Stegostoma tigrinum: one gene and its partner. The protein of the gene in region 1 interacts with the protein of each later gene in a pairwise test. Links are inferred from orthologs where the notes say so. Each region holds a gene or a part of one and is shown in the gene's direction. Other genes may lie near its edges.

What was found.
Region 2: the proteins of double-stranded RNA-specific editase 1-like (region 1) and interferon-inducible double-stranded RNA-dependent protein kinase activator A homolog A-like interact in binary tests that used the Homo sapiens proteins (3 or more experiments, as listed by UniProt). The link is inferred for Stegostoma tigrinum from reciprocal best matches to the Homo sapiens genes ADARB1 and PRKRA.

What each region holds. Positions count from the first base shown.
Region 1 is NC_081360.1:17,594,511-17,602,440, reverse strand, and holds the start of double-stranded RNA-specific editase 1-like, read left to right. Parts: upstream 1-4,846; 5' UTR 4,847-4,885; coding exon 4,886-4,967; intron 4,968-6,307; coding exon 6,308-6,352; intron 6,353-7,930. UniProt on the Homo sapiens protein: Catalyzes the hydrolytic deamination of adenosine to inosine in double-stranded RNA (dsRNA) referred to as A-to-I RNA editing.
Region 2 is NC_081360.1:44,503,116-44,510,602, forward strand, and holds the start of interferon-inducible double-stranded RNA-dependent protein kinase activator A homolog A-like, read left to right. Parts: upstream 1-4,401; 5' UTR 4,402-4,416; coding exon 4,417-4,682; intron 4,683-7,487. UniProt on the Homo sapiens protein: Activates EIF2AK2/PKR in the absence of double-stranded RNA (dsRNA), leading to phosphorylation of EIF2S1/EFI2-alpha and inhibition of translation and induction of apoptosis.

The sequences.
Region 1 (7,930 bases):
GCATTTCAGTCTTTTGCTTGGTTGTGGTTTCAGCGCTATTCTTTTGTGGGAGGAGTGTTTGTTTTGTTTAATGTTAGATTCAAGTTGAACTTTGTAGCTTTAAGTTTATCACAGGGCTTTAATATTTAGAATACAAAGTATTGTTACCTTTGGCAGAGAAAAAAAAATCCTGAGAATTCAACATGTGCAACAAACAACCACTAATTTTTCTTTACAAAACATTTGTGCTAACAAAGTTTATCACTTCCTAATCTGCTTAGATTAGTCATCTTGGATTCTGTATGATGCTTGTCAGCAAATATTCTTTTCCTATCCCTTCTTGATATCGTTCATGAGATCCAGTTTGAAAGCGCATTGATAAAAATCTTATGTTCCTCGTGCAAAAATACTTTGTGAATTATGGTAGTTCGAGATGAAGACTTCATCATCCTCCCTTGATCTACTTTGGGAACGCGCATCTCATAAGATGATAGTTTGCACCGTGTTAGTTGACTCTGTTAAGCATTGCCCTAGTCTAACCCAGTGGCCCAATTCTGGCTTGTGCATTTGCTGCAGAGGAAGACAGTGGACTGAGAAAGTGCATGATTCAATGCCCTCTGTTTTTTCTGGACTCTCGTCTCAGCCAGCTGAGCTTGGTGTTTTTTTTAATTGTCTCAAGTGATGCCCTTCCAGTGAGCCTCCAGAGGGTCATGGCTGTCAGCAAGAGTCTCCCCATCATCGCTATGTGCTATCTTCATATTTCGATCGCCAGCAGGGATCTGAGATTTTTTTTCGGTACATCTTGGTAAGATTTTCTTCAGGACCACTTTTTGACTTTCAGGGCAACTTTTTTATTCTCACTCCTTTATTAGAAGATGTAACAACTTCTTTTTGTGTTGAGTTTATTTAAGGATTTTCTTCTTTAGACAGATAAACAAGCATAAGCACCAAAAATTAATATGCATGTCATACATTCCAAGTTCAAATATTTGAAAATTAAAAGGTTTTTAATTTATTGCAAATAAATCTTCCATATTGTGTTTTTATGCATTCACAGTATTAAATAGTTAAATGTATATCTTATGTAAGTATGATGCAGCATGAATTGTGATTTTACAGGAATTATTCCTGTCACTTGGAAAATTGTAGCAGCTTCCTGAAAACTTAGGTAAACATTGAATGTAGGTTGCTGACTATCATCGAGTGAAATAGTTTATAAGTCATCTACCTATTTGTCGTCTTTGCCTCAATAAATGAGAAATATTTAAGGTCTCAATGCTTTCCCATCACAAAAAGCTGTCTTGTATACATCCTAAGACATGTTGTGTTTTGCGTCCTCGTCTGTGAACAGTCGTTTGATTGCCTTGACAGTGCTGTTTTGAGTTACACGATGTGCCTACCCTTTAATTACTGGATAAACAGGCATTCTGATCTGCTGCCCTGCTCACTCTTCCCTATATACTCTCCTATTTCTTCTTAGCCTCCAGTCTCCAGCAGGTTGATACCCAGGATTTGCTCCTCCATCCACCTTGCTGCCAGTGCTTGGGTTCTGCTACTCTAGCTCATGACCAGCATTCTGGTTCTTTGTTCACACTTTCTATCTGGCCAATACGTGAGCTGTGTGCACTCCTAGCAGATTCTTAGGATGTTTGCAACTTATTCCCACCAGTGCCCATCTGACATTGTGCCCTGCTGTCTTCTCGCTGTACTCCTTGCACGCTGGTGGTTGACCCCACTGCTGTTAGTGCTCACCTTGTTGAATAATCTACTTCTCTGACCTTGTGAAATTCATATTCATAGATGCCTGGGACTGGCCGTGATAATTTGTTTTGCTCCCTCAATTGTGCGTTCCTTCCCTTCAAACTTTTTCCCATCACAAATTCCTGCAAAAGCAGGAAAAAAGGAATGCCTGATTGGAGCAGCTCTAGCACCCACTATGATTGGAGGAACTTTTCCTCACACATTCTGCCTCCATATAGGCTTGGCCATTGCTGTGATTGAACTTCTCTTCATTTTGGGAGGCTTTCAAGCACTATATTTGTCCAGTGGCCCCATGTATTTTCAGCACTGGCGTTTTTGTAACAAAGGTATAGATGCCCAGGAAGTTGTGACTTAATGACCGGTTTGCGATACAGGAATCTTTGGGTATGTGGCTGTCATCCATTTGATAAACATGGCTAACCAGTGTAGACACATTGGCTTTGCAATAAATGTATGCTGATGAAGTTGGCTTGCTCCAGCATCTCTAAGGTTGTGACCTGCCTCTGCATAGACGTCGTGGCGACAAATCAGCGATTGAACCAATACAGTGTGGAGCTGGAGGAACACAACAGGTCAGGTAGCATCAGAGGAACAGGAAAGTCAATGCTTCGGGTTTACGCCCTTTATCAGAAGTGATGGATGTCGACCCGAAGCATTGACTTCCCTGCTGCTGGAATGCTGCCTGACCTGCTGTATTCCTCCAGCTCCACACTGTATTGACTCTGACTCCAGCATCTGCCGTTCTTGCTACTATCGAGAATCTGAGACTGGAGATGGAAACTGTTCAGCTGCTTCCCCGCCCTTGAATGAGCAGTAAATGCTTTGTTTGTGGTGTCTCTGTCCTAAGAATGAATTTATGAGATGAAAACAAAGCAGACTTCAGCAAAAAACAGCTGCTTGTATAATTTTTTTGACACTGAATGATTAATTTCCTACCATAACTATTTAAGTATCATTAAATAAGCAACATTGTGAGTTTTTAGATTTATTGTGTGAAGTAATTAGAATATTTGTAGCAATGCGGTATCTAATTCATCATCCTTATGATGGCGCATGGCTTGTGTTACTGCTGGTGGTTTTACCTGATCGATCATACTTTGGAGATAATTTGGGGTATTTCTCTGAGTCCCTTTACCTTGTGCTGAATATATTTACATGTTTTAGAAGCTGTGGAATCAGATTGTCCAGTTGTCACAGCTGACTCAATGTTGGGTGTGGTATCTTGTAATTTAAATCATGCTCTTACATGTCTTTATGATCTCTGCTTGTCTATGTGAAATCTGTTGAATAATATCGAATTCTTCTTGTTCTGTGTTAGTGAGTAGAAGTTTGCACTTTCCCATGGGATGAGTCTGCAGTGGGCGTTATTCCTAAGCTCATCTGCACCATCTTGTGATTATTCTGAAAAATGACCTTGTGCTAAGTTATCTTTTAACTTGATACTGGGAAATATTTCTGCAGATGGTTGTCTGAATAATTATTCAATGATGGTGTCTCTTTGTCTCAGTTATTTGCAGATTCAAATGTTCTGGTCAGCATCTTGCAGAATTATTTTTGTGTATTTCAGATGATGATGCTGTCTTATAGCATGAAGAAACTGTTGCTCCCAGCTTTATTATTCTGTCAGTATCCCAGTTTTGTCAGCATACTTTCTGATTTTCAAGTCCTGAATTTTTTTTCCAACGTTGAGACTTGTTCAAATACATTACTGCTAATGTATACAACAGAGCCACTCCCTGCTTGAAGAGGTGACCAATTTGCAGGTGGCTCAGTAAATATGAAGAATTTCTTAGGAGATTCAGATACAAAACATTGCAGTTTTCTGAATGATTTGTGAAGAAATGTCACAGGACTCGAACTTTAGCTCTCTTCCTCTCTCCACGTATGCTGCCAGACCTCCTTAAGTTTCTCCAAGACATACTTGAAGCCTGTTTGATGTTCCTACCAACTGATGCAGTATTTCCTCTCCATAGGTTTGTACATAGGTATCATGTCTAGACAATTTATTCATCTACTTCCCCCAGACCCATTCTTCCCATCTTTTTTCCTTTATCACTGAGTACTCAACGAGGTATCCCGGTGATGATTTATGAATAAAGTACACATGGAACGTTACAGAATGAAAAATCATTGCTCCATACATTTTATGTGTCTTGTAATGTATATTATTTGTAATAATTTGGAAGTAGAACAAGTAATAATCAGGAGCAATAACATGATGATGGCTGCATTTCAGAACTATTTCATTAGCAACAAAAGCGTTGGTTCATCTTGAGTTTGTGGAATCCATGAATACATACATTTGGTTAGAAATAAAGAAATGATATCTCCTTAGAAAGTTGCAGTTTGTTTGTGACAGCTTCAGTTTGATGCAGCAGTTTCACTTTGCGGCGATTATGCAATGGTAGTCTGAAAACAGCCAAACTTCAAAGTATGAGTCTGTGTTGATTACAGTTGTGTTTCTCTAGACTTTACTAGTGTTTGTGAAGATATATTTCAAAGAAATACAGACGTCATTCTTGAAGGTTCACCTCCGTGTGTATTAGGTTATATTACGTCGGGTGTTATCTTTGGTCACCAGGATCGACCAGAGGAGAATAAAGTCTTGACGTCTGGCTAGACCATGTGATAGATGGTTGAACCAGTTGTGCAACAGACACATGTATTGTTATCACTCAAGAACTCCTTTGGCCTAGCGTTTCAGATTCCTTTCAGCACTTTGAAGCTTTCTTCTTAGGTCCCTTGTGTGAGTGCAAGACAATAATTCCCCCTTTTTTTTCTCTGCATCAAATGCCTATGTCTGTGCTTGCTTTTGTTTGACGCAGTCCTGATTAGATTAATGGGGCTGTCATAAACTTTAGTACTTGAACTTATTGCTTCTTTGTTGTTTCTATCTGCAAAACTGCCAAGGCTAAACGTTCTTGTTTTCCTGTTATTCAGGAAACTTCATTGTCATGAGAGCAGTTCTGTTGAGGGAGATTATCAGATTTCAAGCATTTAGCATTTTCCAGTTTACTGCTTTCAATGATCAGCAAAACATCCCCTCCCGCACTGAATATTTAAGTGAGGAACATTGAACCTGACGTAGCATTTTTTTTGATGAGAATGGAACATTGTTGCTTGTCAGTGTTACAATGGAATCTGTATGGGAAATCACCTTCTGAGAGGTTGTAGACTTGTTTGCCAAGTCAGTGTGTTTGATTGCAGACATTTTGACTCCGTGCAAGGTAACATCATCAGTGTACCTACGGTGTAGTGTTCTTCTGTCCCACTTGTTATTTATATGCCTTTGTTGGGGTGATTGACATTACTTCTGGTTCTATTTTTCAGTAATTTTGTATATTGGGTCCAGTTCAGTGTGTTTGTTGCTGGACTACTGGTTGGAATGCCAGGCCTCCAGGAATTCCCTGGCATATCTCTATTTGGCTTGTGCTATTACGGATGTTTTGTCCCAGTCAAATTCATGTCCTTCTTTGTTGGTGTGTCTTGAGACGAGTGAGAATTTGTCGTGTCTCTTGGTGACTTGTTGGTGTACCCTTATTGTCAGTTGTCTCCCGGTTTGGCCGACGTAATGTTTCTCACAGTCTCTGCATGGTATTTTGTATGTTATGTTAGTTTTATTGGTTGTGCGTCTGGGATCCTTTATGTTCATATGTAGCTGTTGCAGGGTGGTTGTTGGTTTGTGGGCTACCCTGATACCTAGGGGTCTGAGTAGTCTTGTGATCATCTCTGACATGTCGCTGATGTACGGTAGGGTGACTAATGTGTCTGGCCATGTCATGTCTTCTCATTGTGGTCTGTCACAGATGTAATGGTGAATTGTGCTTTTTGGGCATCTGTTCCTTTTAAAAACTCTGTATAAGTGCTCTGGTCTGCTTTGCGCAATTCTGTGAATAATGTTCTTATGCAGCTCTGTTGATGGATGTTGGGCTGGTTTCTGGCATTGCACTACGCAGTCTTCAGAATGAAGATGATGATCTTGACCATTATTCTGATTACACTTAATTCATCAATTCCTGCTCTGTTGGTTCATCAGCACTTGCATGTGCGTATATGTGCACTTCTTCACCTGTTGCCTTCAGCTCTGGAACTTGCTGTTTAAAATTCCTTCTCTCCATCTCTCTTGGCTCCTTTTAAACGACCTGTTGGCCATCTACCCTTATATTGCCTTATGTTATTCAGTGTTAATTTTGCTCTATAATAATTTTGTGTAGTGCTTTGAGACTTCAAGTTAGGATAAAAATTTGTGTCCTTGGGCTTATTGTGCATTAAAAAGAAGAATTTGGTTGTGTATAGGTTTCATCAAGACAAACTTCACTCTGCTCATTGAACATAGCTGTTGCTTGCTTCAATGGATTTGTCGAGTATTTTTCCTGTAGATTGTGACCAGTTTTCATTTTTAAAATTTTGGAATTGATGTAGCATACTCTTGAAAATAAATTCAGCTCCTTATAGTTAGTGTTTTCCCTCCTTAATTTAAACTTGAAGTATTCTTATTCTTCAAATATGTGTCAGTAATTATGTTGTTAGGCCATATTAATGACACAGCTGTTCTCTTTGTCTGCAGATCCTTGCACTCAAGATATCTTTGGAAAGAAAAGGGACCAAGCAGGTATCTCAATAATTAACACTTCACTTCCGAACTGTCAGCTGAAAAGTGTCTTCTCGATTGGTACCAGAGGGATTGTGTATTAGTGTAAAGTAATGGCTCTTGATCCTTTTGGATTGTTCTGTTTCAGTATTTGATTTTTGTTCTTTATGACACAGTATTCTATTATTTAGTTATGTTGACAATGTCGTAGATCCTCATTTCCTTTGGAATCTGTGAGTGGAATCCTGTGCAGTCACTAATCCTGAATAATTATTTTAAATAAGTCATTATAAGAAACACCAAGGTATCAGAATGTGATATATTCAGCTTGCATTTTTAAAACTGATAGAATTGAAATAGCATCTCACCAAACTAACTTGTGAACAATACATGTCATGACCTTGAATCGTATAGTGTACTGGAAATAAAGCTGCACTATTCATCAGGTGTGAAATAGGAGGACTGTAATCTTCACAATGGTTAACACCTGACTGTAACTACAATGTAAGATTAAAGAAATTCACACCAGGTTTCAACAATGAAAAAGAAACAAACATACCTTATAAGTTGTGGCAAAACCAACTATATATCTAAACTATACCCGTTTAAATCTAAGCATACTCGTTCATTCACATGTGTAATGGACAAAACAGACGAGATCTACCGAATTTTCTTTCAGGAATGTCATTGATACCAAGTATAGATCAAAAAGCAGCACCAACTCTGTCAATCAGAGTCCAAACTACGAAAGGAAATGAGGTAACTGGCTCTCAGTTCTTTTTTGGCGATGGTATCACATTGTTGTCAATGTGGCAGTCTTCAGTTCTGCAGCAGGTGATTTGGACCTCTGTCTTGCTGTAATTTAGCAGTTCTTCTTTGAAATTTTTTGTGGATTATTTGTTTTTTAATCACAGAGCGAACTTGCCGTATGCCTTAAGTCCCAACAGCTCTTTCTTTCCTCTTAATTCTGTGACAAACTGTACTAAAACCATTCCATGTGCTATTGCAGGCACTTACTTCTTCCCTTAAAGCCACCTGATGTCAGTGTGTCTGGCAAAAGTATCAAATGCAACTTCTTAAAAAAAAATTATGTTGATCGAATTGTGAATCAAAACAACTAATTTACAAAATAATCAAGTGTGAAGCTGGATGAACACAGCAGGCCCAGCAGCATCTCAGGAGCACAAAAGCTGACGTTTCGTTCCTAAGTAAGGGTCTAGGCCCGAAACGTCAGCTTTTGTGCTCCTGAGATGCTGCTGGGCCTGCTGTGTTCATTCAGCTTCACACTTTATTATCTTCGGATTCTCCAGCATCTGCAGTTCCCATTATCAATAATTTACAAACCTCTGTTTCCCGGTTTATGTTTCCAAACAAAATATGAGTGGCCCTTACAGTGGTCTGATCAGGAATGTTGATGTTCATCACGTAAAGGGGAGATAATGATGAAAAGGTATCTTCACCCTGAAGGTGCCATTTAGAACTGTTTCACATGTAAAACAGAAAAGGTGATGATTAATTTCGGGGGCTTGCAGGAAATTATCAGAATTTGATACCAGGCCAGAAAAGAGGTTTTCTGTGGGCAGATGTCTAAGGTATTTA
Region 2 (7,487 bases), about 27 Mb from region 1:
AGCATCAGAAGTGGAACAGGAGGCTTCTCCTGGCCCAGTGATGAGTTGGCTTCCAGCGGCCCAGCACGGCAGTCACGTCCTGGTGTGGCAGTCTTATCCTGTTTGTGTCTTCATGGTATCCCATTGTTCCTTAATCAGCTTTCTCTGACCCCCAGAACTGTTAACTGAACTGTGACGAGCTGTGTCCTAATTTTACATTTTTTAATTATTAAGTATGACTTCAGTCATTAATATAGGTGCCATGATGTCACGACCTAAAACATTTTTTACTGTATTTTTCATGTAAAAGTACATGTGACCATAAATTTCTATTCTATTCTATTTTATCTGCAGGGCAGTGGGCACACATCACCAGGAAGTGGTAACAGTGGTCACCTTGGTGGAATGGAACCCTTTCCTATTGAGGTACTCTGCTGCACTGATGTACTATGGCTTTTTCAGTGTGATGTATGTGCAGTTGATAGAGCCCTGTGACTGGGGGAAGCCAGCCATGCTGCTGAAGCCCATTGCCGAGACTTTGTCACAGGGAAATGAAATGAACCAGGGTGTTGAGGGACAGATGGCTTCGATCACTGGAAAACTGAGCGATCCAACACAGGTCCCCAGTGGTTCCTTGGAAGGATCCAGGCACATAGAAGTTAATCGTAGCTGTCACCTTCACATCCACCAAGAGAACATTGTCCTCACTCCTTTAGGTCCTGACTCAGCAGGTGGCACAGTTCAACCTCAGTGTTCAAGGAAAGTACAGAGTCTGCGCTGACACTGTGCCTCATTCATCCTGAGAAATTGGATTTAAGGACGAAAGTCTCTAGCTCTCCTGTGTCCCTGTGGGGCCCTTCAGCTATGACCTCTTCCTCTGCTGAAGGCTCTTTGCTGCCATAGTTGCTTGCTGTCACCTCTGGGCTTGCTGTGACTTTGGCTTACCCCCTATCTGCCTTTGTCTTCTGAGCACCGTGATGAGTACGTCTCCTGTGGCCATACCCATCACTCTTGCAGGCAATGACCAGTGTTGCGAACAAAAAGTACACAACAGATTCTTAGTCTGGAGAAGGCTCAGTGCTAACAAGCATTGCATGATGCTTGTAAATGTTCTTCCACCCCAAAAGGGAGGATCACCTATCGAATGGTCATAGCTCTTTAAGATAGGCACTTACTTGGTAAAGGAGCTGCACTGGCTAAGTGACAAACTCTTTTATTGATCTTCTGAAATATATGTCCCTGATTCATCTGTGGTTTTACCATAGGAAACCTATTTCTCTCTGTTTATTCTTTCTAAATTGGTTGTAACTTTGAACAATATCCCAGGTCAAGTCTTTGCAAATAAAGGAATTCATTAATTGGGGAAACATCAGTGAATCTCGTCTGAATTCTCTCTCCAGCCAATGGCATCCTCCTAAAGCATGGAGCCCAGAATTAAAACCAACATGCCCAGTAAAGTCAAAATGGTTTCAGAGATGATAGGCACTGCAGATGCTGGAGAATCTGAGATAATAAGTTGTAGAGCCGGATGAACACAGCAGGCCAAGCAGCATCAGAGAGGCAGGAAAGCTGATGTTTCGGGCCTAGACCCTTCATCAGAAATGGGGGGAAAGGAAGGGGGCTCTGAAATAAATACGGAGAGAGGGGGAGGCCCCTATTTCTTCCCAGATAGACTATCAATGCTCACAACACCAACTGCACAATTATACTGGTTTACATTTAAGGGGGGAGAAGCAAGTCATTTTTACACCAAAGTTTATGTGTCTTGTGTCACGAGATTGAGCCTGCCATATCTGCAGGCTAGGTGGATTAGTCATGGGAAATGCAGGGTTACAGAGATAGGGTCGGGGTGGGGGGGGAGAGTTGGCGGGAAGGGTTGGGTCTGTGTGGGATGCTCTTCGGACGGTTGGTGTGGACTCATTTGGCCAAAATGGCCTGTTTCCACACTACAATGACTCTATGTTGTCTAACACATAAACTGTTAAGAGGATATGCAATAAAGGTGTGAAACCTATATATAAAACAGTCCGATGTAACTCCCCCATACCTGGCAGAGAACAGGTGGAGGAAGAGGCAGCAATATACCTCGGCTTACTGCATCCCTCCATGTCCAAAGATGAGCAGGCAATTTACACAAAGGTCACTGGTTGATCTTCAATACACAGTTTGCGTCTTTCATGAGGGTGTACTAATTGTTTCAACCACTTCGGAAGGTTTCACCGTGGGGGAAACCTGTAAGCAGATGGATCATCAGATCAAAAAAGACCCAAGAGCTCTGTTTAAATGTTTTATTTAAGGTTTCCTTGGAAAGTAGGAAGAACAGCAGTCCATGATTTAAAAATATGCAACAATATGCTCACTATACAAAATAAAGGCAACAGTCTTCAAGCTGAGATAATGGGAACTGCAGATGCTGGAGAATCCAAGATAATAAAATGTGAGGCTGGATGAACACAGCAGGCCCAACAGCATCTCAGGAGCACAAAAGCTGATGTTTCAGGCCTAGACCCTTCATCAGAGAGGGGGATGGGGTGAGGGTTCTGGAATAAATAGGGAGAGAGGGGGAGGCGGACCGAAGATGGAGAAAAGAAGATAGGTGGAGAGGAGAGTATAGGTGGGGAGGTAGGGAGGGGATAGGTCAGTCCAGGGAAGACAGACAGGTCAAGGAGGTGGAATGAGGTTAGTAGGTAGGAGATGGAGGTGCGGCTTGGGGTGGGAGGAAGGGATGGGTGAGAGGAAGAACAGGTTAGGGAAGCAGAGACAGGCTGGACTGGTTTTGGGATGCAGTGGGTGGAGGGGAAGAGCTGGGCTGGTTGTGTGGTACAGTGGGGGAACAAACTGGGCTGGTTTTGGGATGCGGTGGGGGAAGGGGAGATTTTGAAGCTGGTGAAGTCCACACTGATACCATTGGGCTGCAGGGTTCCCAAGTGGAATATGAGTTGCTGTTCCTGCAACCTTCGGGTGGCATCATTGTGGCACTGCAGGAGGCCCAGGATGGACATGTCATCTAAAGAATGGGTGGGAAACCAAGCGGAGGGTTGGGGACCGCTTTGCAGAACACCTCCGCTTGGTTCGCAATAAACAACTGCACCTCCCAGTCGCAAACCATTTCCACTCCCCCTCCCATTCTTTAGATGACATGTCCATCATGGGCCTCCTGCAATGCCACAATGATGCCAGCCGAAGGTTGCAGGAACAGCAACTCATATTCTGCTTGGGAACCCTGCAGCCCAATGGTATCAATGTGAACTTCACCAGTTTCAAAATCTCCCCTTCCCCCACCGCATCCCAAAACCAGCCCAGTTCGTCCCCTCCCCCCACTGCACCATACAACCAGCCCAGCTCTTCCCCTCCACCCACTGCATCCCAAAACCAGTCCAGCCTGTGTCTGTCTCCCTAAGCTGTTCTTCCTCTCACCCATCCCTTCCTCCCACCCCAAGCCGCACCTCCATCTCCTAGCTACTAACCTCATCCCACCTCCTTGACCTGTCTGTCTTCCCTGGACTGACCTATCCCCTCCCCACCTCCCCACCCATACTCTCCTCTCCACCTAGCTTCTTTCCTCTCCATCTTTAGTCTGCCTCCCCCTCGCTCCCTATTTATTCCAGAACCCTCACCCCATCCCCCTCTCTGATGAAGAGTCTAGACCCAAAACGTCAGCTTTTGTGCTCCTGAGATGCTGCTGGGCCTGCTGTGTTCATCCAAGCTCACATTTTATTATCTTATAACAAAGTGTGGAGCTGGATGAACACAGCAGGCCAAGCAGCATCAAGGGAGCAGTCGTGATGCTCCTTGGCCTGCTGTGTTCATCCAGTCTTCAAACTGAAACGATTTCAGCATCACAAGTTCCAAAACAGAAAGACTGAAAAATGAAAATGGAAGCAAGATGTCCCTATCAATAAACTGTCATTGTCTGAGCAGGAAACGTACCCAGGCCACACAAGCATCGAATTGGAACCACTGGACCACAAAGGAAACTGCAAACATTTCTAAGGTTGCTAAAAATAACCTAAGAAGAAATGGGAGATAACAAAATGTGAAGCTGGATGAACACAGCAGGCCAAACAGCATCTTAGGAGCACAAAAGCTGACGTTTCAGTCCTAGACCCTTCATCAGACAGCTCCATCTGAACTTGCTATCAATATGGTAGTGGCTGATTCCCTGTCTTAACTCCACCTTCCTGCACTACCCCAACATAAAATCAGCAATAGGTTTTTGGCTGCTAAAGCATGCTCCACCACTCAATCTTATCTGTTTCTAACGTCAGGGCAGATAAATGATAATAAAGCGCAATTTATGATTTTCTCTTGTTGGTGCTGTCGACACGTCTCACTCATGTAGTCACAAATGGCTAATGCTGAGGAAACCGGGAACTCCACCACCACGTGCTGGTTGAGCTTTACGAGAAATTGTTACACCACGGAAACTTGCCGGGGATGACGAGAGATATCGCGCTCGATGACGTCTTTAGAAACGCCAGATTGGGGGGTCGAAAACTACAATTCCCAGCGTGCACTGCGGCTAAACGGCCGCCTTCCGCCGGAAGTGGCTTGAGCGTGGACCGGGACTGGCAGCGGGTTTGCGTCCAAACTCGGGGGGAGCAGAGCGCCTTTTCCGCGCGGCTACAATCCTACTCCGCCGGGACCGACATGTCCGAGGAAAGGTTTACAGCCGCGTCCAAAAGGAGCTCTGGATGCGCCAGGTGAGCGATCGAGGGGCGGCAGAGGCAGCGGCGGCGGGGTGTGCACGGCCTCTGACTGCGGGAGCGCAGGGAACAGTGTGCGTGCACACCCTCACTACCCGTCATCCTGCCTACAAGCTGCAAGTCTCAAAACCCACAATCAGGGGCACCCACCCACCCTCTCTGATATCGCTGGAGGACGAAGCTTTTGCTTTGGTTGCTTCCAAATATAGTCCAGCCACCAGGGAGCGCGGAGAGTCAGGAATGGCATTCATTTTAATGCACGGCGTCTTGCGCTTAAGGGAGATGAGTTGATGGTGTGCTAACTGACACATGGGGGATGCAATATCATTGCTCTCAAAGGAACACTGTTCAGGCAGGGACAGGTCTGTAGCCTCGATGTGCTCGAGTGCAGAAACTTAGGGTGTGACAGGGAGGTGGTGGGATTCACTGCTGGTCAAGGAGTGAATTACAGCAGTAAGAAGGGATGCTATCTTAGAAAGTTCCTCAATCAAAACCATATGGGTAGAATTTAAAAAAAACAAAATGGTGGTATACCATAGCCCCTGCCCCCCCCCCCCAAACAAAACAGTGTCAGGTAGGGATAGAAAGACATACACGGGGGCAATCTCAGCTGTGTCATGAATGCTAGAGTAAATATAGTAGGGGATTTCAACTTCTCCAAGGTTAGCTGGGATAGAAAGTGTGAAAGTCTTGAAATTCTTATAATGTACTGTTGAGAACTTTTTAAGCTAGCGCACACAAAGTGCTGCAAGTGCTACCCCTGACTTAAGTTTAGGGAATGAAGCAAGAAAGTGATGGATGTATCAGTTGGAATATTCCAGTGATGATTACCATAATTTGGTAAGACTTGAGGTAATAATGAATAGAGTCAAGGATGTTGGAAATAAAGGTTCTGATTTGTGGGAAGGTGAATTTTAATAATAGCATCTGTCCAAAGTAGACTGGGAGCAGCCACTTGTGGGAAAATGCACATTAGAGTGGTAGGAGCCATTCAAAAGAGTAGCGTGAGAGTGCGTGGCCATCTTTTGCCTGTAAATGTAAAAGGTGGGAGCAGCAAGTCCAGAGAATCCCGGACACTGACAGGCAATCTGTGTGGGGAGTTGGTAGATATGGCTGAAGTTTTAAATGATCTAACAAGGTATAGAGCTGGGTGAACACCACAGGCCAAGCAGCATCCGAGGAGCAGGAAAGCTGACCTTTTGGGTCTAGACACTTCTTCAGAAATGGGGGAAGGGAAGAGGATTCTGAAATAAATAGGGAGGGGGAGGGAGGTGGATAGAGGTGAAGATAGGTGGAGAGGAGATGGACAGGGTTGGAGCTGGTAAAGTTGAGTGTAGGTGGGGAGTTAGGAAGGGCATAGGTCAGTCCAGGGAGGATGGACAGGTCAAGGAGGTGGGATGAGGCTGGGAGGTGGGTGATGGGGTGAGGCTTGAAGTGGGAGGAGTGGATAGGTGGGAGGAAGGAAGGCGGGGATGAGCTGGGCTGGTTTTGGGATGCAGTAGGGGGAGAGGAGATTTTGAAGCTTGTGAAGTCCACGTTGATACCATTGGGCAACAGGGTTGCCAAGTGAAATGAGATGATGTTCCTGCAAGCTTCGGGTGGCATCGTTGTGGCACTCCAGGAGGCCCAGGATGGACATGTCGCCTAAGGAAGGGGGAGTTGAAATGGTTCACGAGTGGGAGGTGCAGATGTTTGACGTGAACCAAGCATAGGTGTTCCACAGAGCAGTACCCAAGCTTCCGCTTGGTTTCCCTGATGTAGAGGAGGCTACATTGGGAACAGTGGATACAGTATACCACATTTAGCAGATGTGCATGTGAATATCTGTTTGATGTGGAAGGCCTTCTTGAGGCCTGTGATGGAGGTGAGGGCGGGAGATGTAGGGGCAGGTGTAGCAGCTCCTGCAGTTGCAGGGAAAGGTGGTGGGGAGTGTGGAGTAGACGAAGGAGTCACGGAGAGAGTGGTCCCTCTGGAAAGCAGGTAAGGGTGGGGAGGGAAAACTGTTTTTGGTGGTGAAGTTTTAAACGGGTGTTTTTCATTTATATTCATTATAGAGAAAGATGAAGCAGAAATAGAAATTGGGATGGGGACTGGGATATATTTGAATGGATTATCATTTGAGGGAGGAGGTTTTAGTGGGCTTCAAAGGGATGAAACCCACATCGCGCCCAGATGAGATGCAGCACAGACTCCTTTGAAAAGTAATGGAGGAGACTGAAGGGGTTCTGCCATTAATTTTCAAATACTCTGTGGCCACAGGAGGGATTGCCAGATTGAAGGGTGGCTAACATTATTCAGGATGGCTGGTAGGGATAAACCAGGAAGCTGCAGGCCATGAAGTCTACCATCTGTGATAGGGAAATTTTTGGAAATTTTCTCTGTATGGAGAGGCATGTCTAACAAATTTAATTGATTTTTTTTCTAGTCGGTGACTAAATGTGCAAGTGTACTTAATGAAATCTACATCGGCTTCACTAATGCTCCTGACAAGATCTTACCTGACAGTCTGTTTAAGAAGTTTAGAGCCCATGGGATTCGGGGCAGTTTGGCAAATTGGATTTAAAACTGACTGAGTGGCAGGAAGCAGAGGGTGGTGGCTGCAGGATGTTTTTATGATTGATAGGGTTTGGTGTGGGGTCCCTTGCTGTTTGTGGTGTGTATTATTGATCTAGACGTGGACATTAGTTGTTAATAATAAGTTTACAGATAATATACAAATTAGTTGGGCGGAAAGTAGGAGGAAAGCCTTAGACAACAGGATGATCTGGAAGAGCTGGTCAGAGAAGCTGAACAGTGGCAAGT